4 linked regions of the Tamandua tetradactyla genome follow. The protein of the gene in region 3 interacts with the protein of the main gene of each other region in a pairwise test. Links are inferred from orthologs where the notes say so. Each region holds a gene or a part of one and is shown on either strand. Other genes may lie near its edges. The genes, in order: BEND7, RBFOX2, PSMF1 and FBXO7.

Region 1 (7,417 bases), on a different chromosome or scaffold from region 3:
AGCATGTCTGTTTTCTCAGTCCAAAAAGTTGATGTGAAATGAACACAAAGCCAGAAGAATGAGGTAGAGCTACTTGGTGATACCTAGGACCATCAAGAGGTGGTTAAGCCGGCAATCACACTTTTATTTTCCCTATGCTCTCTGACTGTAGATTTAATTTAATTTTGTCATGGCAGGATTAGCAAGCAGGCCACAGAGGTGAAGGGACATTATAATAAGACAGAACATTAATCCTCTAACCCACCCAAGGCAGAAGCAAAACCAAACAAATAGCAGCTTCCTGGAAATTGAATTTCTGTTATCCAGATGTCAAAGATGTAATACCCCAATTACACAAACTATTGCCAGTGAAGCATGCCAGCGAATATGCAATGTAAATGGGGTGAGCGCAGAGCCATGAAACTGCACACTCAGCATCTGGCTCTGAGAGTGAGTGATAATTAGCACTGTGTGTAGACACTAATAAACATTTATGTCTGAAATTACAACTTTTAGCAATGTTAATAAGGGATATATTGGCAATCTGTAAAATAAAAGGTCTTGAAAAGAATGTCATACATTCAGCAATAGCAGACATTTCCCGTTCCAGCACAATCTTTTTTTCCCCCTCTAATTGCAAATGGCCACACTGCTTTGCTGTGAAATTAACTGACATGAAAACCTACCTAAAAAAATGGGTTGTGTCTCTTTGGCCTCCCCATTAACATCGCTGCTGAATTCTGAGATCTTATACACCTCATGGTGATAATCTGGGATGAGAAAACAACCAAAAATTAGAATTCTAATGACTTGCAAGATATTAAATAAGCACTAAAGGCTAGACTCTCATCATATCTAGACTATCATAATCTCTGTTTTAATTTATATAATTTTCAAGAACTAGTTAACCACGGAAGTTGACAAAAGTCAATAACAATCTCTAAAAAACTTTGCCTATTCTGATGAAAGTACACAAAGTTGAAACATTACTTTTAGAAAACAGCTTTGCTTGATCACTGTTTACACAGTAAAATTTGCCCACAAATGTTAATTACTAGACTTCTTTTCTTTCGTTTGAGAAATATGTTTATAAAGAAAAGAAAAATCTTGCCCATTCATTGGCCCAGGAGGTTTCCAAACTTATCTCCACAACCCATCTTTTAGGTGTAGCAACAGTATTGCTTCAGGGTTGCCTGACACTGTTTTCTCAGTTTATCTGAAAAATCGCAGTCTTTAAGCAGCTTAAAGGCAAGTACACGTGACAAGTACGGATTTGTTATTTCAAATCTAGCATAATTTGGATAAGAAAGCAAGATTTTCATCTTTCACACAAGTGAATCTTTCCCATTCAGCTTCTGCACTTTAATATGTTTATTTTCTAAAAATGTACCTGCAGAGCAAAGAATCAGGCCCATAAGTTAAAAAAAGAAAGAAAAGAAAAACTAGCTCTGTCAAACTTCAAAATACATATTTTACAAGCCTCTCTGCAGAGGCTCCTGAGCTTTGGCAGTCTTCTATTTCTAAAAAATAGGGTCATTTAGCTATGAGAATATAGGTGCCGCCTTAACAGCTATTTCCTTTTTTTTTTTTGGCCTTAATCCTCCCAGGCCAATTTCTACAGAACTACTGTCACCTTTAAGATAAGGCAATATCTGAGGTCACAAATAAAGCAGCCCACATGCCTGAATGAATCAGATCACTCCAAGAGGCTAGTGGTGTATGGAGAGACTTTTAAAGTTCAAGTCACTGAGTATTCCACACTGCTGGGGGAAAAAAATTACACAGAAAGAGGAAAGAGCCAAATATTTTCAATAGGTAAAACCATGTTAGGCCTTTTCATTATGCAGTATCGGAACAAAATTGAGGGAAAACAAACATGAGTAGATCTTTGAAATGTCTATCATCAAACCATTTCTAAACAAAGTGAAAGCAGGCTTCGTGGAATCTCTACTACTGTTAGCTTAGTTTGAGAAACTCTATGACTTGCAACAGTCCTCTAATTTTCCCCCCTTCCGAGGTTGCTAACACAGGTTTGGTTTGCTCTGTACTCGGATGCCATTGCTAGATAAGACACCAGAGGGAAAGTAGACACGTCTGAGGCTTTGTTTTGACCTCAAGCTGATGCAAAGAAGACACTGAAATAGGATGGTTCTGAACATACTGGAACCTGTGGACACTACAATGAAAAAAGTCAACTGCGTCTCGCCGAAGAAGAGACGAGGCATTTCCACGGATATATTTTTAAGCCTGTTCTTACGCTTCGTCCTCATCATTTTTTTAAAAAGTCCCATCAAGAAAATAAACACTCTAACAAGTAGGTGAACAGACAGAGACAAGGCTCTATTCCACTTCGCCCTCCTCTAATAAAAGAGCTCAAGCCCAAAGGCTGCGGTGTACACCTGTTAAGTCGCCAGGGACTAGATGGATCTTATTTATTTATTTTATTATTATTTTTTTTACGATACTTGTCTGACCGGTAAGTGATCTGTTCGAGAACACCTTTCCAATCCAAGTCACAGAGCTGGGAAAGATGTAGGATGGCCACAATTCGTAGTCGGGCTGTGCTGCTTCCGCTGCCTCCAGTACCTTTCCCGTCGCCTCCGGGAGGACGACCGCACCCCGAGGGCACCGCGGGGTCCCCGGCCCAGGCTTTGTCTGCCCCCGGCGCTGCCCTCGGGCCTGTTTACGGTTCGCATACCTGCACCCCACCCGCCAACTTTGCCCGCGGCCCCCGCCCCCAGCCGCAGCCCGGGAGGGAGTTTGGGGGTCCGCGGGGTGAGGCCTCCGAGGGAGCCCGGGGCCCAGGGTTGTCCGCGTCGCCCCGGGTCCCCAGATCCCGGACCCCGGTCCGGACCCTCCCGAAACGCTTCACCCCAGCCGGGTCCCGACCCCGGCGCGGCCCCCTCACCTCGGCTCCCCAGTTTGAAGCTCTGCGATTTCCTGCTTCTCCTCCTCTCGGAGAACTCCATGGTGCCGGCGGGCGGCGCGGGTCCGCGGGGAGAGGAAAGGCGCGCGGCCGGCCCGAGCGGCGTCGGCCCTCGTCGCGGCGGGAGGCAGCTGCCTGGGGAGAGGCGCCGTCCTCCTCCTCGCCGCCCCCGGCTCCCGAGCACGCCCGGCCCCGTCCAATTTCTCCTTTTTCAAAGCGGATCCGAAGCGGAACTTTCCGCGGCGGCCGCGCTGGGGCGGGCGGAGGGCGCCGGCGGCTCAGGGCGCTCGCTGGGCGCAGCCTCCGGACTGACGCGGCGGCGGCGGCGGCGGCGGCCGGGGGAGGGAGGGGAGGCGGCCCCGGGGACGCGGCGGCCGGGGAGGCGGCGCTGAGGGGACGCGGCGGGCGGCCGAGCGGCGGGCCGAGGGGAGGAGGGCGGCGGCGGGTGCGGGCCCCGGGAGGAGGGGCGCGGCGGGAGGCGGTGCCGCGGTCCCCGGGGCCACCTGCTGGCGGCCGCCCTCTCGACCGCCGGGCCCGGGCCCGCACCCGCCGGCCTGGCCGCCGAGGCGGAGGCGGAGGCCGCGGCGCTCCCCGGGGACGGCGGCCTGTGCGGACCGCCCCTGAACGCGGGCCCCGGGCCTGGGTCAGCTCTGCAGTCCACCGCCCCCGGGCCGGCCTGGTGGTCACGACGCCCCCAGGGCCGAGAACCCTTCTGGAATGGAGCGGGCCCCGCACACGTTGCTGGGCAAGTTTTAGGAAAAACTTCCCAATGTGCGCTGTGCAAGAAAACTAAAAGAGCGTTTGGAACGTATTGAGGAGAAGCGGATAGGCGGGAGTGGGCTCCGATTCTGTATCCGGTACAAGAAGGGGTGTGGAAGCCACGGGGCTGGATGCGGGGAGGGAACTTGCCCTGCCGGCCGTAGAGGGAGGAGGAGGTGAGGAAGGGTCAGGGCAGGTGCAGGAGATCTGCCACTAGGTTTGAGGACCTCCAGGCGATTGGCGTAAATAGAAACCTTTCATTAATTTTATATGAACTTCTCTTGGGAGCTAAGAGCCCCTGCAGGCTCCATTTCTTTCTCACAACATCTTTAGAGAGGGAATGAGAGAGAATTTCACACCCCCGGCAATGCTATCCGAACATGCTCACAAGTAACTCTCCCCCCCCACCAAAGACCACTTCTGGATGAAAATATAAAGGAAGTAAAGAGGTAGGCCACCTAACAACAAATTTGAATTTGTGGCAAATTCCCGTGGCCCTAAAGGGACAGGGTATGTTGATAAATGTGGTAAGTTCCATGATGAATCCCACCAAAATGAGACCACTGCTCAAGGACCTCTCTTATTAACCACTGGGTTAATAAGAGACAACTGCCAAGGAAAGGAAAAGTTGGAGGCTAGCACAAACATACAAGCACCAAGAAACAAAACCGAGGATCAAGGTAACCAACCAATAAACCAGTGGAAGGAGGCTGGGGCCCAAATCATGAGGTATTAGTTGGTGCGGAGGCTGGTGTACCTGGCCTGGAAGAGAGGGAATAGGCTGTCAGTTGCCAAAGCAAACCCTTAAATGAGGTTCTTAGCCTTTTTGATCACTGTCTGTGGAGTTGATATTCAAAGCTGTGGGCCCTTTCCCCAGAACATGTATAGAAGACCAAGGAAATTTTGTGTAGGTTTTTTTGAGTTTAGACCCCTGGGAGCCCTAAAAGGTGGAGAAAGGATTAAAGTGATGAAATCAACTATCCTTTTTGGTTCTCTCCCATTTGTTTTCTCTTGCTTTAAAACCAAGTAATGAAAATCTGACTGTGTTTTGAATGTTTCTTTAAGGGAAAATGCATACTGTTCTGTTCCCCTGGCTGGGATCCTTTCTTTCCTTTCTGCCATGCCTTTAAAAATGTTATCCTCAAAGAATGCATGGAAGTGATGGTAACTAATTAGTGGAATTATAAGTAACATTGCCATATTGAAGGTGAATATGAGTGAAAGGGATGTATAGTGCCGTGCATCCCACTGATGAACTCTACAATTATAAATAAGTTCTCAGATGAACTATTTCAAAGGTTTGATATTGTACAGAGTCAATAATAGAGGGATATGGGGGAAAACTAAAATTGCATGCTATGGCCAATAGTTAACAGGAAGACATCAGCTGTACCACAGCACTACCAGGGGCAACTAATTAGAGGGAGGAAAGGATAAGCGATAACGGGTAGTTTTGATTTGATATTTGGTTGAGGCTGTGTTTGTCAGTTATCTCTATGGACCAAAGAAAACTCTAAAATTGAGAGTGCTGTTGATTGTATAACCAAGTCAGGATACCGTAAGATGTGGTTTGCTTATTTTGGACATTATCCATGATGCCTAATAGATGGAGGAAGCCAAAGGGTACGATGACTGAGAAGCAGAATGGCAAACTGATACATACATGTGATGGAATATGATGCGGCTACAAAAAAGGAATGATGTCGTAAGGCATGCAATGAACTGAATAAACCTTGGGGACAATGTGTTGTGCAAAATAAGCCAGAAACAAAAGAACAAATATGCTATGGTCTCTTTCAGAAAATACTTATAAGAAATTTGGAGCCTAGATTGTAAGACCTTATAGGAACCACACCTAGTCTGAAATTGTGAGTGTATTTCTAGATTCTGAGACATTGAGCCATATGAAACTGATATTTCCCTGGAACTTTGAGTAACTCTGTGAAACGTAAGACTCAGAAATGGAGTTCTGCAGCCCTGAATGTTAGCACAGCTACATACAATAACAGTTAAAGTAAGCAAAAAAGAGATCAACCTTCCATTAGAGATAAAGACAAAGGCTTATAGCCAGGACTAAGGTGAATCAGAATACAGGGTAATAGATGATAGTGTATATACTCTAGACCTTTACCTGCTATGTAAGACCAAAGGCAGAGAGGTTTATTGTGTCTTTTTTTTTTTTTTTCTTTTTTTCTTTACATGGGCAGGCACCAGGAATCGAACCCGGGTCCTCGGGCTTGGCAGGCAAGCATTCTTACCTGCTGAACCACCATGGCCCACCTGTTTATTGTGTCTTGAATCTTAATCTTGAGAGCACCTAAGGCTCGGACTGGGGCTCAATAAAAGTTTCATGAACTAAGTTTCCTTTCCTGTTACCTATAATTTCCCGGGGGTTCCTGGGCCAGATCAGTCCTGAGGCCCAGAGGGACCAGCCTTTCTAAGATTATCAACCAGTTACATTCCCCTATCCTTTAGTGTGGACACCCCTTCTCAACGTGGGAAAGTCGGAACGGGCATTGTCCAAGGATCCCTGTAGATTAGGAGGGAGGTGGGGGAGAGAGAGGAGTTATAACAGAGGGAATAGGATTTGGTAAATGAGTATGACTGCTAAATCATTGTTTTGATGTTTCTTTTGGCCTCCATTATTTTGGAGCAGTTAAAGGGAAAGACTTGAAATAGTGGAATGGTAACCTATGAAATCTAATTTAACAAGTGACTACTTGTAATAGTGTACTTTGAAAATTATTGCTTTTTCTTTCTTTCCTTTGTATAGATGTTATATTTCACAATACAAACTGTAAAAAAAAAAGTTATCCTCAAAGCCACAGGGCCAAGTACTATACTGATTGAGGAACAGTGAGGACTTTCATGCTTTTGAACATAAAATGAGAGTTTATTAGCCTAAATCCATGATGAAATCATTGAAGGTGTCATACCAGGAAACAAATCCCTGGAGAAGATATTAACAACTTAACATATTCAGTTCAAGTGGGAAGATGAATTCCATGTAATGAACAGACTAGTTTGGATAAAGGTAATAAAATATTTGTAAAAAATGATATTTTGAAACAATAGTCATTTTCCCTGGACCCTTTTATCTGGTTCTCCAAAGATGGTCTGCAGAGCCCAGTCGTTCAGGGATTGTCCTATTTACAGAGAGAAAATCAACAGCGATTTATTTACTCTCTACTTTGTGCAAATCACACAAACATCACTTTATATAACATCAATGTATATATACACAAATTGTATGAAGTAAAGATGAATTATGATATTTAATAAATATGAGATTGCATGAAGTGGTAGGTAAGGTTTTTTTTTAATACAGCTTTTGTGTTATGGGCTATCTCGGAAGGTCCTGTCGGAGATCCACTTAGGTCATTTTTTTGCCTCAATAATCCAAAGCCCTCAAAAGTTTTAGAATCACAGGTCTATACATTACTCAAGCTCAGTGAAAACTGTTCAGATATTCCATGAGTTCATGAAGGCAGAGCATCTTATTATATGACCATTCTAAAACTTAATCAATTACAAATAGATTAAAGATTAAACGCAGGTTTTAATTTTTGACAAAGACAAGTAATTTGGCTAGAAAACTAAGTAGTCTGGACCCTAAATCTTAAAACTCTCTTTCTGGAAGCTCTGTACTGAAAGAAATGGTATTATGAAAATTTCCATCTTTATTTACCACTCTGCTGTTCAAAAGAAATGCACGGTAAGTCATATATGTAATTTAAAGTTTTCTACTAGTGA
Region 2 (7,332 bases), on a different chromosome or scaffold from region 3:
CACCTATTGGAGAGACCTTTCTTGACCATCTCTCCCTCATTCTCTATCCCTTTACCTGCTTTATTTTTCTTTTTAGGATTTACTACCACCTAACTAATAAAAGTTGTTGATTTATTTATTATCTATCTCCTCCCATTAGAATATTAGTTCCATGAGAGCAGGGTCTTTGATTCGTTCACTTCCATGTCTCCTAGGTATAAAACCAGAACCTGGCACACAGCAGCTGTTCAATAACATTAGTTGACTGAATAAATGAATAATAATTATCCCTTCACTATTATCAGAATGGTATCAGAAAATCCTAGAAGTGTAGTACTAGGCTTAAACATCATCTTTTCATAAATATTATTTCTTCTTTATTATATCTCAGTTTCAAACTTCTCACCAAAGCTTTCTTGACCATGTCTTTCTCCTGGACCCAGTGGACACCATAAATCCTCTGTACCCTTTGGCTCTAAATTATGCAATATCATGTGATATAGCTATCCTGTGATATCTCTACTCCTGCTCCTCTGGAACATTAAAAAGAAAACCATATATACCATTTTTTTAACGTTCACCCATTTAGTCTCGCAATCTAGACAGAAAACTTGACATATTTTTTGGAAAGTAATTTAGAAATCATTCTGTACAAACACTTTATTTTACAAGGAAAAAAGAAGTCCCCAACAAAGAGATCTTTACAAAACCATGCTAGTTGAAGGTAAGGTGCTACATCAACGATGATTTGAAAATCTGTGTGACACATTGCAATGGGACTGCATATTGAGAATGTGCGAAGTGAAAAATAAAGAACAGCCACAAATACCAGAGAGAAAAAAAGGATCTCTGTGGAATAGTTCTAAGTTGCCCATTTGTGCCCAAAGGACTTAATCCACTCCTTCCCCTGTATACCCCTAAAGGTCCTACAATACTCCATTTCTCAATACTATTGTCCTTAGCCACTTTGAAAGCAGCCGGCCAATAATAAGCTCTGGGAGGAAAGGGGAGGAAGGAGATTCCCCCTATTAACTATGATTGATAGAAACAATAAAAGAATACATACATTCATGAATGGACACATCAAGCAAAACATGCTCACCAGGACCCACATCCAGTGTCCCCCAACTTACCATCCAATGTTAATCCACCTCACCTTAAGTCTCCCCATATTCCTCTCTATTATTTTCCATGGTCCTGAGCTTTTACTTCTCACAATCCCTTTGCCTGACAAAATTCTAATGGGCAACAAAAGCAGGCACACAAAACAAACGAATTCAAAAATAAACACCAAGAGAGTCACTATATCCAAACCAAAAGAAGTAAAAATACTTCTGCAAAGAAGAAGCCTCTGCAAAGAAGACCAAGAAGCATACAGCAACCATGCCAGGCCTAAGTACAGCTCCTTCACCAACACAGGAAGTCAGGCAGAGCCTTGAAAAGCAGGGAGGAAAACACAGGAAGTCTTTTAGCATTGCACAGATTTCCAAGAGTAGTTAAATGAAGAGACACAGGAATAGGAATAAGAATACCAGGGTAAAGTAATATTCTAGCTTTACCATCAGCTAACTGATACCTTTAGGTAAGTTGCTAGTTGTCTCTCTGGACTTACGATTTCCCATCTATAAAATGAGGTGGTCAAAATATTTTGGGACTTGAATCTTCATAAACAATTTTAAAAAGATGAAAACTATTGACGCTCTCCCCCCCAAAAAAGTATACGTACACTATTTTGCAAAGGATTCTTCAATCTATCCAGGGTAAGAACCCCTGGAAAAGATGATGGTTCTGGTTCCTTCTAATCGCTAACATTCTATGATTCTAAGAGAATTAGGCAGTTCTCTAAACAATCGTTGGTACCTGAGCCCCATCATTTCAAAGCAAGTATTTTCTGAATGGAGACCAAATACTAAGACCTACAAAGACACTGACATCGTCACTCCATTTCCCATTTCTAAATCAACTAGCTTATCCTCGAGTCCACAACTCAGAATCCAGCCTTCTAACAGTCCTATAAATTTTCTTTTATATCCTCAGGGTACTAAAGACCTTTCACGTGTCCTGGCTATGTAGGATGCAATTGGCAAAGCACAGCAGAAGCATTTCTTGTGTCTCTCTTCAGGTTCATTAACATGCTCCACGAAGTTAACGAGGCTTAGTATCACAGTGTCCCCACAACACTACCAAACTCCTTGCACTTCACACTCGCTGAGTAACTGATTTAACCCACAATCTAAGCCACATCCCCTTTCGGCTCTCTCTAGGAGTTTTCTCGCCTTTCACTCACCTCCTTCAAAAGCCTCTCCCCAGCCTCATCCCAGTATGTGTCAAGGGCTGCCAAAAACGTACTCCTCCTTTTCGGGAGGTTTTCCACCCCTGCCCCCTCGTCCTCGATTCAGCCCAGCGGCTCTCCTCTAGGCAAAAGACCCAGGCTTTCCGGCTTTCACTCCACCCTAGCAAACTATGAAAAATGGAATCCATCTCAACCATGTTCTGGATTTCCCCAAAAAACCTATTCCCTCGTCAGTCTCCTCGTCCCCTCAGGAATAAGGACTCTCCAGGGCACACCAGGATCCTACTGCACCCTTCGCCTCCAAGCCAGAGCTCGCCCCACCTTCCAAACAGGCCTCGACCGGCCCCCCTCCCACCTCCAGCTCAAGACCCCCGAAAGCCCTCCTCCTCTCCAAGCCCCGGGAGCCTGGAGCCACCCCTCAGGTCCCACTCCGCACACCCACGATAACGGGGTGCCCGTCCCGCGCGGTCACCTGCATCCCGCCGCCGTCGGCAGCCGCCTCCTCTGTGCGCGGCCGCTTGCTCAGGCCAGGCTCGGCTCCGTCTCCTCCCCCTCCGGTCACCGGCAGCTCCAGCTCCGACTCCCGCTTCATCCCCCGGGCAGCGGCACCCGGCCCGAGCTGAGGCGGCTGCTGCGGCTGGGCGCCTTCCGCCATCCGCCCGCGCCCCCCTCGCCTCCGGGAGCCGGGCGACCCGCGACAGGCCACCTCCCCCTGGGCCTCGGCCCCGACTGTCGCGACAGGCGGGCGCGCGCCTGCCCCCGCCCCCCTCGCGTGCGTGCGTGCGTGCGCGCGGGCAGGCCGGCGCCCCTCTGCGGCTCGCGGTCGCGGCTTCCCGCTCGCAGGCTCCGCGGCTCGCTGCCCCGCGCCCTGCTCCGGGCCGCTCGCGGCTCGCCGCGGGCACTCGCTCGCCGCCCACCAACACGCTCGCAACACCGCTCCTGGCCCGCCGCGCCGCCCCGCCTCTCACACTCACGAAGCTTGCCCACCGGCCCGCACCCGCTCACTCACACTCTCCCTCGCACGCCTCGCGGAGGGAGGAAGGGGGCGGTCCGGCTCGCCGAGGCGTGGGGAGGGGTGTTTATTTGGGGGGAGGAGGGGCTCGAGCTGACTGGCCGGGATGCTCCGACCCGCCACTGTGGCAGCTCCGGGAAGGCGGGGAGAGAGAAAGAAGGAGGGAGGGACCTGGATGTAGGACTCCAGCCCGCGCGGGAGGCTATGGCTGGGGCGGCGGCGGCGGCGGCGGCGGCGGCGGCCCAGTCCACGAGGGGGCGGGACCAGTGCTTCTCGGCAATCTCCGTCGCCCTCGCCCCGGCCGCCCGAGGAAAACCGGAAATAGCTCGGGGAAATTCGGGAATCTCCGGTACGGGTGAGGAACGATCTTGGAGGTACAGGGAGGCTGGAGTCGTATCTGCGCGAAGGGGCCAGAGTCTTCCCTTTAGGGGCGGGGCCTCAGCTTAAGGCAGGTGGGGCTTGAGAGACCCGTAGGCCGGCTAGCGCTGCTCTCTAGTAGGACTAGTGCAGAGATTCGTGACCTCAGTTCTCCGGTTTCGCCACACTGGTTCCCTAGGAAAGAAGGGCGTTCTGTGGGAGAAGGCTCTTAGCCTGCTGCCTCTCCCTTAGAAGAATGAGACTCTCCGGTTGGAAGGTCAAGGAATAAGACCATCACTACATGGCTCTCCCCAGTTCTGAGAGCATTTACTCTAATAACAAATTTCATATTCCGGATAATCATAAAAATACCTGTTGTTTCTAAGAGCATAACAGTTTGCACAATGCGTTCATAGACCCGATATAGTGATTACAGGCAGAGTAGTTGTCACGATCACAGTTTCGTTGATGACGCATCTGAAGGTTGGTTAAGTCCTGCAGCTAAAAAGCGGCAGATCCTAAGACACCAGGTCATATTCTTTCGCTATACCTGGCTGCCTGCACTTTATTGCTTATCAACTTTACGCAATTAGAGGTATCTGTACAATAGCATCTCTCTTCTACCAGACTGTAAAGACCAGGACAGCATCTATTTTTCCAGGGTTGCCTATTGTGTCCTCTACTTTACAGGTTTACAATGAACCTAACTTAAACAAGTTATTTCACCTCTTTGGACCCCAGCTGCATGATTTGGCCTTCCTCCCCACCCTCCCCACTCACCCAGCCCCAGGACATTTGTCAATGTCTGGAGACATTTTTGGTTGTTAAATTGGGTGCTGCTGGCATCTAATAGGTAGAAGTCAAGTATGTTGCTTGACATCATCAAGACAGTACCCACAACAAAGGCTTATCCGTCCCAAAATTATCCAGCCAAGGTTGAGAAACTCTGGGTTTCCAGATGGGTCATTTCCAGATGGGTCTATAATTTGGCCTTTGGACTTGGGTTTAAACCTGGCTAATTGTGGAATCGTAGAGGGCTGGTAAAGTTTCCTGTTTTGGAGTCACACCAACCCAGGTTTGAACTGGGCCTTAGGACCCAGTGCCCATGTATTTTTGCAACTAAAAAGTTCTATGTAGGAGGAATTAAGGCCTCCAATGTGGGAGGAAGGAATGGAGGACTTGTCTTGAACCTGTGTTGTCACAGTAAACACATTGTTTTACTAAGGTTGTGTGTTATGGATCGATAACAACAGCCAAGATTTAGTTCTGCTGCTTAAAAACAAGGAAGCCTGGTGAAAATGACTTAACCTCTCAGTTTCATTTGAAAATTAAGATAATGATAGTATCTCCCTCAAAGAATTATTGTGAGGATTAAATGAGATATCACATATTAAGAACTTCAAACAGACGTGATCTATAGTGAACATTCATTAAATATTAACTATTATTATTCCCATTATTATTTTATTCACACTTTAAATGACAGTGAAAAAAATGCCCATTGTGAAAATCAAAGACTATGACCATCACTGTTTTTGTTTTGTTTTAATTATATGAGGGGGCTTGGGTGGGGCCACTAGAGATTGGGGTGGGGTGAACAAAGCTTCCCTTGGTGCAACTACTATGTTGGGCAGTTTATTTTCAATAAACTTTCAAATGCTCGTTTGTAAGATGGCAATTATAATAGTCACATTGTTGTTAAATAAAACAAGTACAAGTCTTAGCACACAGCCTACCATATAATAACTGTTTAATAGGTGGTAATTATTTATCATATTATTTATTTAGTGTTGCTAAGCTTCTGGCCAGGGGGCCAGGGGGTTAGAAATAAAAGCCCAGACATGTCTTTATATGGTCATTTGGGCCATCAAGTTGGAAGTTCAAGTGCCTAAAAATTTGTACTTGAGTTGAATTAGACATCCCCATTCTAAGTCAGGGGTCTTCTGTTGACAGTACCCTAGAGCAGATGGGCCTGATCCCATCCAACTAAGTATTATATCTTTGAAGAAAAATCAGGATGTTTCCTGGTGGTCTGTGAAACAATGATGGATTTTTTTTTTAAACCTAGAGACATCAATGGTTGGTTTTCTGAAAATTTTACTTACTGAACTGGTGCCTTAAGAATTCTTTTTCCCTTTTTCCTTGTTGCCTCAATTTTAAATTGGTTTGTGAAACTTACTGCACAAACACAGGCTTTATAATGATTATATGGATACTTTATTTAAATATGCCTACGGTTAAGCTAAGTAAGATATACATTTTTGGTGGTTCTAAGTGTATTTGTATTCTTAAATTTAAAAAAATTAACAAAAGAAAAACACTTCCAAAAAAAAAGAATTCTTCTCCCCTCCCTACCTTCTTACCAAAATACTGAAATCTAAATGATGCTAAGTCCTTCCTGAGCTGCCCAATAACCCTGCAAGAAATGAGACTTACTATCAGGACTGCCTATGACTCAAATTATTATGTTATTCAAGTAGCTCTCAAATCCCTAAGAAATAGAGCAATGCAGTATAGAAATGTTTGAATGACCAGGCAAAACAAAGGGAAAATGGAGTCTGCCCCATAAACAAACATTAAGAAAATGGAGAATAGAAGCCTACAATAGTGCAAGAGGCCATGTGTGTCCAGAGCAGCACAATGACCAATATCATTTCTTTTATGTAAATCTGAAACTACCTGTTTAAAGACAGGTGCCTATAAAATATTAAAGGGGAAGAGACAAAACATATTTCCTAGAAAGAATTTCTAGCTGCAAAAACGACTACAGTGATAACATTTATTTGAGAAATATGGGCACGTGTCTAGGATATCATGGTACCATAAAATTTATTCACAGTCTAGGGAAGGAAGAGATGAACAAATAAAAAAAAAAAAACAGTTGCAATGCATCATGGTAAGTTGCTTATCCCTCCTAGTGGTCAAGAACACGGACTCTTGTGTCAAATAGACATGGGTTAGATCTGACCTCATATACCTGAGCTCAGACAAAATCCTTAGCCTCTCTGAGGCCCAGCTTCTACATTTGTTTGACAGGCACTGATAGCAGCCAGCCCATTATCTATTCTCTTCTTAATTCCTTATTATTGAAACCCCATTTGTGTTCAGGGCAGGAGTCTGCCAGTTTACGACTATTGAATTCCCAAGCTTCCTATTAGCTAAGTGTGGCCATGTAACACAGCTCTGGCCTTGGAGGTGTAAGTAGAAGTCACTGAAGCTGGTAACTGTTCCTAATTAATAAGAAAGACCATGGGAAGAAAAGGCTCTTTGCTTTTTGCCCTTAATCCTTTGCCTCTTGCCTTTCACCCTTCCTTCTTCCTGGAACACAGACTGGAAAAACAGCAGACATCTTTTCTCCATGAGGTCAAGAGCTCGTACTAAGAATGGTATTGCAGAGCCTTCATAACAGCCTAAGTCTGCCTACGTCTAATTTATTGTTGTATGAGAAAAATAAGTTCCCATTTGATTGAGCCTCTGTAGGTAGTTTTCCACATGCAGCCAAACTCAACTTCTAACTGATAGAATCTGTAAAGCGAAGATAATAATAGTATCTCCCCCTGGAGTTCTTCTGAGCATTAAATAATGCATGTAAAACACTTAGCATGACATCTGGCCCATAGAAACACTTAATAAATGGTAACTTAGACCTTTTTGCTCCTAGTACTATTCCTGTTGTCCTTGTTTATATGAT
Region 3 (7,889 bases):
CCCGTGCCTGGACTGAGATGTCTGTTGGAAACTCAAGTCCAGTATGAGGGCTTCTGTGTACAGGGCTCGCCCTCCCCACCCGTCCAGGATATGTAGTAAGGAGTTGAGAGGGGTTCAGGTAGAAGAGACGTGCTCATGGGAACTACACCCGAAGTCTCGGTGCCAGGGCCACGGAATCTTGGAGTGAGGGGTTGAAAGACCGAACTGAAGGGAGCTTCTGCCCTTGAGTTAACAAATAATACTGTGCCAGCTGTGTTGTAAATGTCACTGGGCTGGGACAGTTGAACATGTCCCGCCTGCAGGCTATTTCAAAAGTGTCACGAGCCCCAGGCCCCGGACTTGGAGAGGGAGGTGTCAGGCGCTCTGATTCCGGCCTCCGGTCCTCCGGGTTTGGGCAGAAGAGGGCCTCCCCTCCGCCCTGGCCCCGGGGCGCCTCCGCGGCCTACCTGGTCGCCGACCCCCAGGCCGTAGTAGCCGTGCGTCACCACCTCCCAGTGCAGGAAGCAGATGATCGCGTCCTGCGCGCAGGTGATGGCCGGCGCCACCGACGCGAACAGCACCTCCAATCCCGCCATGGGCGACGGCGGCTTCTGCGGGCGGGAGAAGGAAGAGCAAGAACGCTGTAAGCCACCGCGGCCCTCTGAGAAGTGACAGCGCAGCTTGGCCCCTCGGCTCGTCCCGGCCCCGCCTCCCCGGCGCAGCCCCCGGAAGTAGCTGCGAGTGCCGGCGCAACAGTGTGCGCGCCCGGCTGGGAACTGGAGCGCGACGATTAAGGTTCCGCCCGAGAGCAACCGGCCGGCGCGGACCTGGGTGGCTGGAGGCGCGGCCATTCCAAGCTGGAATCCCCTTCTCCAGGCCTCAGGATCCTTGCACTGAGCCACAGACTTCCTGTCCTCAAGATGGGGTAGGCATATGCTAGGTAGGGGAAGAGGTTAGGAGATATGGCTTAAATATATTCATAATAATAATTGACACTTGGGCAGTGCCCAATTGCTTGCCACGCGCCACAATTATTCTAAATGTCCTACTTGTATTCATTTATTTAATCTTTACAACTAATGATAGCCCCATTTTATAGATGAGAAAATTGGGGCACAGAGAGGTAATCTGGTCAAAGTGACACAGCCAGTCATTGAGGGGCAGCGATGGTACTAGAACCCAGTAGGTGCTTATTGTATGCTAGATCCTGTGCCAAAAATCTTTACTTCATCCTCTTAACAAATGTACGAGTTTTGTTCCATATTGTCCCCATTTTGCAGACGACAAAAACAGCTCAGAGTTGAAGCTACATGCCCAAGGGGACACAGCTGCTCTCCTCAGAGCTGGAGCCTCCAAACTTCAAATCATTTATTTTGTGGTATTTAACAGTTCAAATTTTCTTAACAATTTTCTTAAAATCCACTCACTGTTTTTACTTAAATAAATTTAGTTTCTCTGTCCCAATCAGTCTTCTGCTGTAAAATGCCAGCATCTCTCACTTGGATGACTTAGATTATCAGCATCTGCTCTGGCCCGTTCCCTCCCTGTTCCCTCATGTCTGTTCTCTACTTTGCAGCCAAAGAGAGTGTTAGAAGATAAGTCAGGCCACAGGCCTCCTCTGCTCAAGACCAGGGCTCCCATCACACTCAAAGGAAAGATCAAGTCCTCCCATGGTCTGCAGGGACCTGCCATGGTCTTCTCTCAGCCCTGTATTTCTCAGACCTCATCTCTTCCCACTGTCCCCTCATCCTCTGTACTCCTGGCTGCAATTAACTTGGCTCTCTTCCTTCTGTCACACTCACATCTGATCCAACAGCAAAGCTGGTCGGCTCTAGCCTCAAAGTATGGTCTAAATCTGACCACTGCCTCCTCCCGGTCTGATCTGCCAGCATCACAGGATTGGCCAATCGCCTGGCTTCCTACCAGCTTCCCTCTTCTTCATGTTCTGTTCTCCAAGCCTTTGCATATGAGCTCTTCTCTCTGTAGAATGCTCTTTCCCCAAACATCAGCATGGTTTGCTGCCTCATATCGAGCAGCTCCTTCCCTCACCTCCTACCAGCCTCAGAAAAGGTCTTTTCTGCCTACCACATAGAAAATAACCCCCTTTTGCCTGCGCATGGGTAGGTTCCCACCAACTCCTCCAGCACCCAGCCCCTTGGTATGCCAGTACTTCGCACACAAGTAGTCATATAGAGTGCACCTCCCAGGACTCGGTTCTCTGTTATACACCAGCCTCCTTGTCTCATCTGGGTTCTCCCAGAAGCTGATGCTGAGACAGGGGTGTGAGTACATGTGGTTTATTTAGGAGCCGATTCCAGGAAATACCAATGGGGGAGCAGGGAAGCCTGGCAGGGGAGGGAAGGCAGCCAAGAGAGGGTGTGTGCCTAAACCCCTTGCCTCCATGGGCATGGGTACAGCACACAGCTCAGAGTTTTCTCACCTAAGGGCGAGGGAACTGGGGTCTTTTTTTCACTCATCCCCTGTCTGCTACAGGTGCAGGGCTGTCCCTGGGGACATGTGGAGCTGCACAGTTCGCGGGAAGCAACTGCTGGTTCTTGGGGTGACTGCTGAGGGGTGAGTGGGGCGCGGCAGCATCTGTTGTGCCTGCTCTCAGGGTGAGCCATGCCCTCGTCAGGTGTGTGACCCGTGGCCAGCACAGAGCAGGCACGGGCATCTGTGTCCTGAGAGAACAAGGTGAGTTTTGCTCCCACACTGGGCTGTGAGTCCACCTGAGCACCGGGCCCCTGTTCAGCCCTCCCTGGGCCCTGCGGTCTTCAATGGGTGGGAGGATTCTTCAGGGACAAAGGTTGGGACCTGCCCCTGGCCCATCCAGCCCTTTCTGTGCACTTACCTACATCAGCAACAGTCTCAGTCTGCCCGGGGAGGCCTGGAGTGGCTGGGAATGGGAGCAGGTGGAAGGCACCTGCCCTGCTGGGCCCCCCTATTTGGGCAGCGCAGAGGCCATGTCTGAGACGGGAGCCCAGATGATGGAAGGAACTTGGGGGGTGGGGCGACAGCCACCAGTTCCAGGTTGCCGAGTAACAGCAATGTGGGGATTCCAACCTGTCTCCCTGGAAACAGTAAAGAGGAGAGCTGGGGAGCAGGGCCCAGAATGTGCTGAGGTGGGCCTCCTTCCTCTCCTATCAGCCTGACCCCCTCACCTCTTCCAGGGAGCCCTCGGGACTGATCCTGTTCTTTGCTAATCACCAAATGGCTAAACTGGTACTGTCAAGACACGTATTTGACACTTGGAGCAGATAACTTTTTAACACTCCCTCCTCTAGATGACGATTATTTCAATAAAAATCACATGATAATCAGGAAAAATTGTTATTCTCCTGATTCATTATTTTTCTTCTCTATTTTTAAAATTACAGCTATAAATTATATACGTAAAGCCTTCCCTCTTTAATGCATAGCTCTCTTGAGTTTTAACAAATGCAAAAATTCATGTAACCACCATGCCCTCTAGATAGTTCCAGAAGGAAGAGATTTTTTTTTTAATAATCTTTACTGAAGTATAATTTATAAACAATACTATGCCCCCATTTTAACTGTACAATTTGGTGAGTTTTGACAAATGATAAACCTGGGACCTCATCATGACAATCAAAATAAAGAACATTTCCATCGCTCTGAAAGTGTCCTCAGGTCCCTTTGCAGTCGATCTCTCTGACATGTGGCCCAGGCCACCACTGATCTGCTTTCTGTCTCTATCAGTTAATTTTGCCCCTCTTAGGATTTCATACAGATGAGATGTGTATGTCAGTTGGGGGCCTCGTGAAGCAGAGGCCCAGATGAAGTTAGCAGTGCTACACTGATCGGGTCTTAGGCTTGTGAATGTAAAAGGGGAGACAGAGCAGGAGCAGACAGGGAGAAGCTTCACTGCAGCGTGCAGGCTGACACCTCTGAAAGCAGAGCTGGGGGGGGGGGGGCGGTGGTTCTTAGTTTGCCAGGGTTACTGTAACAAAGTGACACATACTGGTTGACTTCAGTAACAAGAATTTCTTGTTTCCTAGTTTTGGAGGCTAAAAGTCCAAAGTCAAGGCATTGGCAGTCATGTTTTTTTTCTCTAGAGTCATCAGCATTCTGGCGGTGACTTGCCGGCAATCACAGTGCAGTCTCTGCCTCTGTCACATGGCCGTCTCTCTCCTCCTCCTCCTTCCTGTGTCCACACGTCCTCTGCTTTTGAGGACTCCAGTCATACCGGATTAAGGCCCACGCAGATTCTGTTTGGCCTCACCTTAACCAACAGCATCATCAAAGATCGTGTTTACAAATGAGCTCACATCCACGGGACCAGAGCTGGGACCTGAACGTATCTGTGGGGGGACATGATTCAATCTGCAACAAGGGGGAAGGAACCTCAGACTTTGGTGCATTTCTGAGAGTCTCAGCCTGCCCAGGGAGTAGAAAACTCCAGTGCAAAGATTTCCCACAGAGTTCCAAGATTTCCCCTTTTATCGCAAAGCTGCTGCAACCTAAGGCTGTTAGCTAGCTGCGCTTCTCAAACCTGATGGGCAATTTCTTTAATGAAGGGAGTCGCAAGGCACCCCTCCATGATTGACACGTGTTCTTTTGTAGCTGGCTCTTTTCATCAGTGTGCCTGAGAGTCATCGGCTGTTGTGTGCATCAGAATCTTCCTTTTTATTTCTGAGTAATATTTCATTGTGCACATGCACCACAGTTTATCTGTCCCCTACTGATGGACATTTAGATTGTTTCTAATTTGGGGTTATTATGAATAAAGCTGCTATAAACAGGCATGCACCGGTCTTGGTGTGGTCACATACTTTCATTAGTCCTGGGTAAACCCCTAGGAGTGGAACTGCTGGGACATATGGTAGTAGTGTATGCTTAAAAGAAACTGCCGATCTTTACCAAAGCACTTGTACCATTTTAGGTCTACCTGTCATGAGTCCTAGTAGCTCCACATTCACCAGGAAGGGATTAGGGAGGCTGCTACCATGTGTCTGTGCCGGTGTACTCGGAGGAGGCGAGAGAGCCAAAACTTAGGACAGTTTTTCAGACCTCGGCTGGTGGTGGGAAAGGTGTAGGCAAAAGGGTCCAAGCTGGCACAGAGAAAGATCTAGGCATGGGAAGACTCTCCATCTGCAGGGACACAGGGAGGGCCCATGCAGAGCAAAGGCAGGCCACAAGAGGGCGCCTGGGCCCACCCAAATGCCCACAGAGAGCAGCCCAGCTGGGCGAGGTGCCCAATAAACATTTTCTCCTTCTACCCGGACTCACTCCATCAGGTAGTGCAGAGGCGGCCCAGACTGGAAGCTCTCCAGCAGTTCTCTGTCCGCAATGAGTCAGAATCTTCAAGCCTCCTTTTAGCTCTAGGCATCATTGACCCCTGGGAGATGCAGCCCTAGAGAACCAGAGTCCTAGGGAACACAGAAGGTTTGCTCTGCTGGTTTCTGAAGCCACTCTCCTTCCCAGGGCCCCCACTTCCCTCGGCAGGCATCTTTGTATCCATCCTTTCACAGACTTGGTCCTCTGTCCTGCCCTCCCTGCCCCCACGTCTAGCTCCAGCCCTGATGCCCCATTGGGCGGGTGCCCAATAAACATTTGTTGCATGAATGAATAAATTAATGACTGCAGAGTGGAAAAGTGTCTAGATAATGGAGTCAGGCAACCTGGTTTACATCTCAGCCTCATCATTTACTCACTGTGCAGCTTCAGGCAAACAAATTATTTTTCTCTGTCAAATAGGGATTGCAACAGTATCTCCCAAGGGTTGCTGGGCGGCTTCCTGGAGATGATGTCAGTGAAGTGCTGTCCACCTTGCCTGGCATATGGCAGGAGCCCATATAAAGGTGGTTCCTTATTTGAGATAATGAGGCGTTGGGTAGCAGCTCCTATGTACTGAGGACTTACCATGTGTCTGCCACTTGGCTCCCATTATCAAATTCAATTTTCTTAATGACTCTCATGAGAGATTAAGTAGCTCAGAGAGGTTAAGTAACTTGCCCAGACTCACACAGCTGAGAAAACTCAGACATTGAGGGCTTCAGCATGCAAGGTCTCAAGTCAGACTTTTTGGGATTCAAGTCTTGGCTCCATCACTTAGAATGAATATGACCTTGGGCAAGTTTCTCACATGAAAAATATAGAAAGGTTCAAAAGTGGGCTGCCATGTAGGCCTGGACTGTTTTTTAGGATTTGGTTGGCCAAAGACCCCACCAACTGGAATGCAGCAGCCTGGGTACCTCAAGATTGAGTGACCCAGCATGGGTTCTGAAACATGTTCATTTTTTTTTTTTTTACACAGGTAGACACCATGATTTGAACCCGGGTCTCTGGCATGGCAAGCAAGAACTCTGCTGAGCCACTGTTGCCTGCCCCAAAACCTGCTCTTTTAACCACAGCATCATCTGACTCCCCCATCAAGCACCAAATCATTTCCAAATGTATTCTTCAGGCTCCAGTCAGAGCTGGATTTATAATCTGGCCCAGAAGGTAAGACACATACACATACACACACACATACACGGAGTGGGGAGAGGGAGAGAGAGGGAGAGTTAGAAGAGTTAGCTTTGCTGTGTAACTTTGGTCAAATTGCTTTGCCTCTCTGTGCCTTAATTTCCTTATTTGTAAACTGAGGGGTGATACTTAATCTGTGTGAGAATCATCTAGGAAATACACATGGCAGGACTGAGTCCTGAGCACTGAAGGAGAACAAGGGCTAGAGGAGGAGGCTTTCCAGGACTATTGCCACAAGCATCAGGCATTCCTCTCTAAGATTCTTTAAATGATGCTTTTCTGAAAAAGATAGAAATCATGACTCTTACGCTAATCTAAAAACAAACATGTCTGATATTTGATTTTATTTGTTAAACAATGAGGAAACCAGTCCAGTTCCAAGGAAAGATAAAAATGTAAGAAAAGCCCAAATTTATAGGAGTAAAGAAGTTGAATGATAGATGGAGACAAAAATAGTTTTTCCACAATGAGAAAAGAAGCCCATTCAACCCAACAAGATTCTGCATATCTACCAGCTACCTACAATTTAGGAGGTGCAAAATAGCCCAAAGGCAAGGAGAAGGCTAGACTCAGACAGCTGGGATGTGTGCTACAGGTTTCCACTGTTATACCCAGTTTTTTTCTATAGTTTCTTTCAGCCCTGAGATTCCAGACTTCTTTGTCCATCAGTCTGGAGATGGGCCTCGAAGCCAGACTTTGACTGGGACCATTTCTAACCAGATGTCTTCAGAAGGAAGTTTCTCAACTTTTCTGGGTTTCAGTTTCCTCATCTGTAAATACGGCTGTCACCTCCCAGAGTTATGGTGAAGACGAAATGAGCCAGCACAGGTAGGTGCTTAGAATGGGACTGTGCATATAAAAAGCTGTTATTCTCTCTTTTTTCTCACTGGGAGTAGCCACGGGCTGAGGGATGGTGCTGATTAGGCACCTTCTTTGTTTGTGTGTGTTGCTCCTTCATCCTCCTAGCAGCCGGATATTGGAGAGATATTACAACCTTTGATTAGGGAGGTTCACAAAGGTGGCAGGACTGGCCCGAGGCCACTCTGAAAATAAGTGCAAACTGAATGAAAACCCAGGTCTGTCTGCTCCCTCCAACACCTGTGATTCATTTCAAGGCTTGAGTAGATCTCTAACTCTCACTGGACCTCGGTCAGGCCCTCTCTCTCTAGGAGGCCTGGCCCAGCTGACCTCCTGGATGATACCTTCTCGATTCCCTCCAGTCTGTGGGGAGCTCCGCGGCTGCCGGGCTGGCCAGGCTGAAGCAGCTCTGGAAAAGTCCTAGTGGGCAGGTAGCATGGGAGTGGCGGGTCCAGGCAACTGGATGCCAGGGACACAGCCGGGATGAGGTCTAGCCCTCTGGCACGCAAACCCCAGCCCCGCCCAGAACCCCATAGTTTCCACCTTGCTCACAGAGCCGGGTG
Region 4 (7,757 bases), on a different chromosome or scaffold from region 3:
ACTTCTCCAAGGAAGGAGTTAAGATCTTAATTCCAAGTATCTGTAGTAGCTAGGACTTAGACATGGAACCTGGGCTCCCTCAAACAGATAAAACTGTATAAATCATTGATTCGAAAGTAATGACTGTGAGGAAACAGGCTCTGCTGGGAGTTTGGCTCTTTATTGGTGCAGGAGGCTGCCAAGGTGCACTGTATTTAATGGTAGTATGGTGGTGGCAGCAACAATGCCAGCTGATGAGACAGTTTTCTCATCAGGCCGTTTCTTCATTGTGGTTCTGAGCTTCATTCTTGGAAGCTTAACCTGGTGTTACTTCTCCAGCCCTCCCAAGAATTCCCTGAGCTATCCAGTATCCTTTTAATTTCCTCTTTTCCTGCTTAATCCAACTGAGTCAGCTTTTATTGGTCACCCTAATGGATAAAGACTCCTAACGGATAAAGACTTTCCAGTGGCCGAGCATACATTCTGAGATGTCTCACAAATTCCTTGCTTAGCCTAAACCTCTTCCTTATTTAGGCTGCGCCCACTTCTGTCCTTTACTCCGGACACACAGAGTCACCCTGATCCTGACAGGGATCCTCAATGCCATATTCCTTCCAATAAAAATTCACCTAGAACACTTCTCCCATACCCACCTTCTCAGAAAGGCTTGATTCATTTGTTTCAGTGGCAGCCTCTGAGCAGGACAGGGGAGTAGTACATGAGATGGCTGCATGTTTCCAGACTACCCAAGCCTAGTCCTATTGCCTCCATTCATGCCTATGAGCTCCTTCACTTCCTTCTAGAGAATCCCCTGTTGCTCACAGTAGTCATTTCTACTGCTCACTGCTAAGGAGCTCTACTGGCACAGAAACCTTCTATATACTCCAATCCTCAGACTGTGCTTGTGTCTATCATAAACAAGACATTTTTTAGGTTCCACTTCAAGAGTTGATTCACTCAAGTGTAAGTCCTGCAAGGGCAGGAACATGTCTTTTTTTTGTCTTTGAGTCTGCAGCTGTGACCATCTGGCACAGAGTAGGTGAATAATAGGAACTTACTTTGGTGAGTGAATAGCAAATTGTGGACAAGTGCTGCCATCTACAGGGAAAACTTCTGACTCTTACAATGTTTTGGAGGCTATCCAGTAAAGGTGAATTTTCTCCCTCCTCGAAGTTATCATCATCATCATCGTTGCTGTCATTAGATCCTCTGTGGTGGCCCGCCTCCAAGATGGTCCCCAAATGATCCCTGTCTATGATGTATTCATGCCTTTGGACTGTCCTTCCCACACTGAAGGGTTGGTCTGTGTGACCAATAGAATGTGACAGAATGATGGTATGTAACTTCTAAGGTCTATATACTCCAACCCTCAGATCATAAAAGACATTGTGGCTTCTGCCTCAGACCACCAGGGATGAGGGAGACCAGCTGCCACGTCATCAGTATACTCAAACAGCCCTGTGGAGAGGTTCATGCATCGAGAAATGAGATTTCCTGCCAACAGTCACGTTAGTGAAACATCTTGGAAGCAGATCTCCAGCCTGAGCTGACATTTCTCACGACTACAGCCCTGGTCTGCATTTTGGCTGCAATCTCATTAGAGAACTTGAGCTAGAACCACTTAGCTAAGCCACCCCTAAATTCCTGATCCATGGAAACTGTGAGATAATGTTGTAAGCTGTTAAATTTGGGGGTGACTGTTACACAGCAATAGATTACTAATATACCCTCTAACACAGATTGTTACCACTAATCAAGGCTCTTTTTTTTTCTCTAACAAGAATTTGTTGGCTCATGGTTTCAGAGCTGCTTGATCAAGTTTGCACAATGTTTTAATCTTCTTCCTATTTATACATGCATTCCTTAGCTGAATTTGACTTCCAGATAAACACCTTAGGTCTGAATCTTTTTATTCCCCTAATTAGATATGCACCCTTTGCCACTCCCTTAGCTGGACGCTTGTTTCTTTACATCAGTCAAAATGAGGACAATATATTTTGCTTAATTCACAGGAACAGTATGAAGACCAAAAGAAAAATGTATCTGCATTTTCTCAAAAACTATAAAAGCTTATATGAAATAGGAGAGAGCTCTAATAATTTACCTGATGCCTTGCCAGGTCTGCTTGTGGGGAATTGTGGGTGTACAATTATGCCTGTATGTAGGGGAAGAGTGGCCCTTTACTAAGATATTTCAGGCTCATACTATTATCACCATCCCTTTACTAATGAACTTTCCAAGAACTTGGAAAGCTGAGTTTCCATTGTACTGGAAAGTCATTTCCCCTCTCAGATGTCCAGGTTAAAAAAAAAATCCTTCAAGAAATTTTATATGCATACATAAGTAAATATATGTTTACATATACCCATAAAAACATGAATGCAATATTATACAATTGTTCTGCAATTTTTTATGTTAAGAAAACTGCAGAATCATTGTATATTGGATCTTACATATATTATCTAATATATATTGGCTTACATTATTGTTTTATTAGCTTCTTAGATTTCATTGTATACATGTACTACAATTCAACCAATTTTCTGTATATGAACTTTTCTTTAGAGGAACAGGCTATACCATGTAACATTTATAGAAGGCATTTAGCATAGTGGTTAGAAATTTCAGTTCTATTTTGAGACAGGCAATGACAATATTGCTAGCTGGGTGTCCTTAAGCTATCCAAGCTTAAGTTGGTTATCCAACTGAAAAGCCAATCAAGAGCGGCCATCTCCCAGAGCCATGAAGACTAAATGAAATTATGCATGCAATGTATCCGGCATAGAACTTGGCACACAGGAAGCTTTCAAGAAACCCTTTATTAGTGATCCTTGAAAAATTGCAACCCAGCCTATTAATGCTGCTGGGTGTTTTACTGTTGCGGTTGTTAGCAACTGAGACCAGTAAGAGATTGTGATTTCATAGACTGAGGAAGTCTATAGATTGAAAATATTTTGAGCGTTTTATCACAGTGTACAGTACTATTGGTACTGCTTTTTTCTCCTTCACATCCTGAACCTCTGAAGGTGGGCCCTGCATCTGGGAAATTGAGGGAGTGAGATTCCCAGATTTCAAACTGTGCTGGGGCAGAGTGCTTGGAAAGTAAGGGGGCGTATCTCAGTCCATCCTCTCTTATTGAGTTTATCTGTTGAATATATTAAGCTTTCATACAAGCTTTAGTTTTATTAACTTCCAAGGCAAAAAGAGTTTGAAAAACCATTTGGGTTGATTCATTAATTCTTTCCTTCATTCACCATGCATTTCTTGAGCAATTTCCAAGCCCAGATGACTTCAGATGTCTATAATCAAATGGGGGCATATAATCCAACAATTACAACAGTGTCCACCTTATCCCATGAGTTTTTTTTCTTTTTCAAGCAGTTTTATTGAGACATAATCATACACTATACAAATCAATCCACAGTATACAATCAGTGGTTCAGAATATCATCGAGTAATTGTGCATTCATCACAATAAATTTTAGAAAAAAAATCTCATACCCCTGATATCCCACTATTATTGACCCTTATGAAATATGAAAGAATATTTTTATACTTTTAATTATTAATCACAGACGTCATCCACCACAGGGTTCACTGTGTATACGTCCTATGTTTTATCCTCCAGCTGCAATTTTTTTATTTGTCTTTGCACTATTTATCATGCACATCTTATAATAGTGAATAATAATTTTACCAATTTACCCTATTCCTTTTTGTGTCTGTACAGCATTTTATCATAGATATATCATATTTAGCCATTTCCCTTTGGTAATTCATTTCCAGTTAGTTTTTTCGTTTTATTTTTTTCTTTCTTAATTAGAGAGGAAAGTTACCCCATGAATCTTAAGCGCTGTAATATCGAACTTCTTACAGCTACCCTGAATATGCCTGCTATTTGGCTTTTTTTTTTTTGCATCTTTTTGTATACACCATTGCTTGCAGACTCTTGGAAAGTTCCCATTTATACTTTAAAATACAATTTAAATACACTTGCTAACGCCTTAAGTTCCAGTTAACCACTTCTGTATCTTGTACTTACTTCCACTATTGCATTTGTTATATGCACTATAACATTTGTTTTCTATTTGGTGAGAGCAGGGACCTGCCGTAAACTCTTCTGCCTTCCCAACTGTGGGTGCAGGGTCAGAAGGACATTATACAACAGGGCCTACACAGTATTTATTTTTAAGATATTCATTTATGGTATAACATATGCTAAGGTCAACACTAGGCGGTAAACAAAACAAACTCGGTCCTCGATCCACAAAACTCATGTTCTTGTGTGGGAAAACGCCAATACAGAAATTAGCAAATTAAAAGAGAATTCCAGATGATAAATTCTAAGGAAATAAACAGCGCGATACAGCAGTTACTGGGGAGACCAAAAATGACAGGGCTTTGACATAACGTTATACCATTTAATTCTTCAGCGCTGCGGACCCACAAGAGGAGGTCGCTACCTGGTTTCGCTATACGGCTTTTCGGAAGGTGCCACTGCAACTGGGCGTGGAAGACCTGATAGTTCACCACGCAGGAAAGGAGGTAAAAACTGGTACACACGTCCTTGGGAAGTGGCACGTTACAATGTCCACAGCATCATTTTCAGCACTGTTTTTCTAGGCACTTCTGAAAGGAATCGAAAAAAGCCACGTAAACTAACAAGCCTAGATCCCAGCGCCTTGTCGCAATCTGGGCGCTTGCGCAGTGTGCTCCTCCAGGGTTGCGCCCTTGCGCGCCGAGTCACCGATCGGGAGTCCCGGAACCGCGGAGCTGGGCGCTGGCCGCTGGCCGCTGGCCGCCAGCTGCCGGCTCTCGGGGTTGTCTCCAGGGGGCGCCCTATGGAGAGGCGGGGCGTCCGCCCTTGCGGAGTTTTCTTTCCGTTACGCCTCAGCACCCCCACAGCTCCGGAAGTCACCGTCCGGGGCCGCTGCGCGGGACGGGAGCTGTTCGGCCCGTCTGACGCCACCATCAGCGCCTTCGAGTTGAGCCCCACCAGGCCTTCGGCCGCCGCCATGAGGCTGCGGGTCCGGCTTCAGAGGCGGACGTGGCCGCTGGAGATCCCGGATGCAGAGCCGACGCTGGGGCAGCTGCGCGCGCACCTAAGCCAGGCCCTGCTGCCCACTTTGGGGTACAGGTACGCGGGGGCGAGTCGGGGGCGGAGGGCCGGCTGCGATACGGGTGTGTACTGCGGGGAAAGTGTACTTGGGTATTTTTTGGGGGGAGAGTCCGCGCGCGTTGCGCTCTAGACCGCCCGTGCTCCTTGCGGTTGCTGGGCGCCGCTGAGTGCTCCTCTAAGGTGCTCAGCCGTCAGGGGCGGTCACGTTAGTGTCCGCTCTCCGGGGGCGTGGTCGTGCTTAGGCGCATCTGGGTCTGTGACGCGCCGAGGCCGGGGCAAGTTCGCCGAGGAAGGGCCCGGGACCAGGGCGGGAGTTCGCTAGAGGAGTAGTGAGCGGGACGCCGGGGCTACTGCGGGCGGGGGGTCCCGGCTCCAGGAGCTCATGGCTCAGCCTGCCGGCGGCTCGGATCCCCTCCAGGGTAAGGAAATCGATTCCGTCTTTAAAGTAAACGAAGCCATGGCTAGGATAGAATGGAAAATGCACACGATGTTTGCATTTAAAGTTGGAAATTCTGAGTTTGGGTTGGGTTAACCTGTCCATACTATAGGGCGTTTAAATTCAGTTTCTTCAGCTGTTGGGTGTTTCAGTGATAAACTTTTGGGAAGAATACTAGTAGAAGTCAAAAATCTGCCCTCTATCATAATTCACCTGTTATCTGTACTGCAGCTGTAAAAGCCGTAATAATTATTTTTAAGAGTAGGTTGAGCATCTGTGTGGCAGCTACGTCGGTGAGCATTTTCACTTATCCACTGCAGTTTTAGAAAGTTCAGCGTGCAAGCTTGTTACAAATCGTTTAATTTTCCTGGGGGAGATTTTGCTTGTTTGCTAAAACAGAGGTGAACTTTGGCCTTAGGATGACCCTGCAGAGTTTCAGTTTTCCAACAGTGAAGTAGAGAGATTTTGGTACTAATTTATAGGGTTGCTATTTTGTTTTCAGAGGTATTTTTTTTGGCAATCATCTGGTAATAGAGGGACAAAGTAAGGAGGCTTCTTTTCGAATATTGAGCCGGTGAATTTGAAATTTATGAGTTTGCTAAACATTTTAAAAAAATATTACCTGGGGGCTTTTTAGGTGAATTATTCAAAAAAAAAAAAGAAAACTTTTATGTTAATTTCATTGAAGCGGCTTATTTCCTAAGACTTTTTTAAGCTTCTAGTTTATTTTTAGGGAATTCATTAAAGTTAGGCCCTATTATGAACTCCTCACTCTTTCATTCTTCAGATTAAGACATTATTAGATTAAAAGTAAGCCTGGTTTTCTCCAAAGTAAAAAAAATGAGGAGGTATGGTAATAACTTTGAGCATTATGGTAAGTGACGTGTCTGTTGTTATTTCTTGGTATTAAACCTAAGTATTTTGGTTCCTCCTGTCATTACCATAAATTTTCACAATGAACTTTTCTTTTTAAGGTATTTTCATAAGTATGTATAGATATTTCTTTTAAGTAGGTAGGGCAATCTTGAAAGGATGTGAAATTCAATATGAATCTACCCGAGAGCCTAAGTTAGTTTCTCTTTCAGGTTTGTTTTCACAATTGAGGCTGGTTGACAGGAAACAGTTTAAACTGCAACTTGTGAAAGTAAATTCATTTTTTGGAAAGTATGTTCATTTTATAATAAACGAGCAGTGTTAAAGCATGTACAAATGGCAGGTGTTATTTTTTAAAAAGTGTCTTCACAGAGCAAAGGGATCCGAAATTGTCATAAAATATCTTGAAAAAGTCTGGAGTTTCTAGTTTCATTGCCTGTTTAACTTTTGAAATGTTAAACTAAAATTATTTTTTGTTCCTGTCTATGCACCATTTCAGAAAACAGAATCATTTTTAACCCTCTCCCTGGAAAACTACATATTACTTCAGGAATAGCTTTTTCTTTTTTCAAGGGGGCAGGGAAGGCTGGCATATTTCTTAAGTGCTTTACCTTTTCTATGAATAGAGACTAGATGTTTGAACATGCATTGTACTAGATACTGTTAAAAAACTTTTGTTGTGACAAATGATCCATAAACACGAACAGTTCATGAGGTGTTTTTCTTTTCTCTGCCAAAGTTGGGATGTTGTTTTTCTGGGCAGCTGGCAGATTCTGAACATTTTGTTTATCAAAGCATTTTGAAAACAGCAGCAGAGCTGCTTGTTTTCTGAGAAGCAGTGGTAGTTTCTACTCACACTGCTAGTAAATAATAAGCTTAGTAAGTTGCTAACTTTTTGCTAATAACTAGTAAACTTCTAGTACTTTCTCTACAAAATACACTTTTAATTGGTAAGAAGAAGTATGTTTGTGTGTGGAAGAAAAATGAATTATTTTGAGCACTTTTGAAAATATGCTGCATTGTAAGAAAGAAAAAACAGAATAGGATTTTCAAAGAACTTCATCCTTTGTTAACCTCTCAAAAACTTAATGAAAGAGGTATTATTGGCTATAACAGTCTTATAAAATGTTTTACACTTTTTGTTAATTATCACCTCTGTATGATGAGACGATGGTTATACTCACAAGGTCAGATAATCGTGATGCACAGAGGATGGAGAGTTTGTTGCTTCAGGCTTATTTGAGCTCTTAGGTTATTTAGCAGTGGGTTTTTGAATTTGTACTGTCTTCCATATGAAAGACATCATAACTCATCATCAGTAGAAAAGAGGACCTGTACCTGCCATCAGTA

The links.
Region 1: the proteins of PSMF1 (region 3) and BEND7 interact in a two-hybrid assay, tested with the Homo sapiens proteins (2 studies listed by BioGRID and IntAct). The two-hybrid records come from large-scale screens. The link is inferred for Tamandua tetradactyla from reciprocal best matches to the Homo sapiens genes PSMF1 and BEND7.
Region 2: the proteins of PSMF1 (region 3) and RBFOX2 interact in a two-hybrid assay, tested with the Homo sapiens proteins (2 studies listed by BioGRID and IntAct). The two-hybrid records come from large-scale screens. The link is inferred for Tamandua tetradactyla from reciprocal best matches to the Homo sapiens genes PSMF1 and RBFOX2.
Region 4: the proteins of PSMF1 (region 3) and FBXO7 interact in binary tests that used the Homo sapiens proteins (3 or more experiments, as listed by UniProt). The link is inferred for Tamandua tetradactyla from reciprocal best matches to the Homo sapiens genes PSMF1 and FBXO7.

Annotation. Positions count from the first base shown.
Region 1 is NC_135333.1:49,223,938-49,231,354, reverse strand, and holds the start of BEND7 (BEN domain-containing protein 7), read right to left. Parts: upstream 3,016-7,417; 5' UTR 2,949-3,015; coding exon 2,888-2,948; intron 750-2,887; coding exon 666-749; intron 1-665.
Region 2 is NC_135333.1:28,467,143-28,474,474, forward strand, and holds the start of RBFOX2 (RNA binding protein fox-1 homolog 2), read right to left. Parts: upstream 3,006-7,332; 5' UTR 2,928-3,005; coding exon 2,745-2,927; intron 2,645-2,744; exon of another isoform or gene 1-2,644. UniProt on the Homo sapiens protein: RNA-binding protein that regulates alternative splicing events by binding to 5'-UGCAUGU-3' elements. Prevents binding of U2AF2 to the 3'-splice site.
Region 3 is NC_135327.1:23,019,700-23,027,588, reverse strand, and holds the start of PSMF1 (proteasome inhibitor PI31 subunit), read right to left. Parts: upstream 3,015-7,889; 5' UTR 2,831-3,014; intron 916-2,830; 5' UTR 831-915; coding exon 807-830; intron 591-806; coding exon 447-590; intron 1-446. UniProt on the Homo sapiens protein: Plays an important role in control of proteasome function. Inhibits the hydrolysis of protein and peptide substrates by the 20S proteasome. Also inhibits the activation of the proteasome by the proteasome regulatory proteins PA700 and PA28.
Region 4 is NC_135333.1:24,545,962-24,553,718, forward strand, and holds the start of FBXO7 (F-box only protein 7), read left to right. Parts: upstream 1-4,751; 5' UTR 4,752-4,820; coding exon 4,821-5,116; exon of another isoform or gene 5,117-5,314; intron 5,315-5,350; exon of another isoform or gene 5,351-5,480; coding exon of another isoform or gene 5,481-5,517; intron 5,518-7,757. UniProt on the Homo sapiens protein: Substrate recognition component of a SCF (SKP1-CUL1-F-box protein) E3 ubiquitin-protein ligase complex which mediates the ubiquitination and subsequent proteasomal degradation of target proteins and plays a role in several biological processes such as cell cycle, cell proliferation, or maintenance of chromosome stability.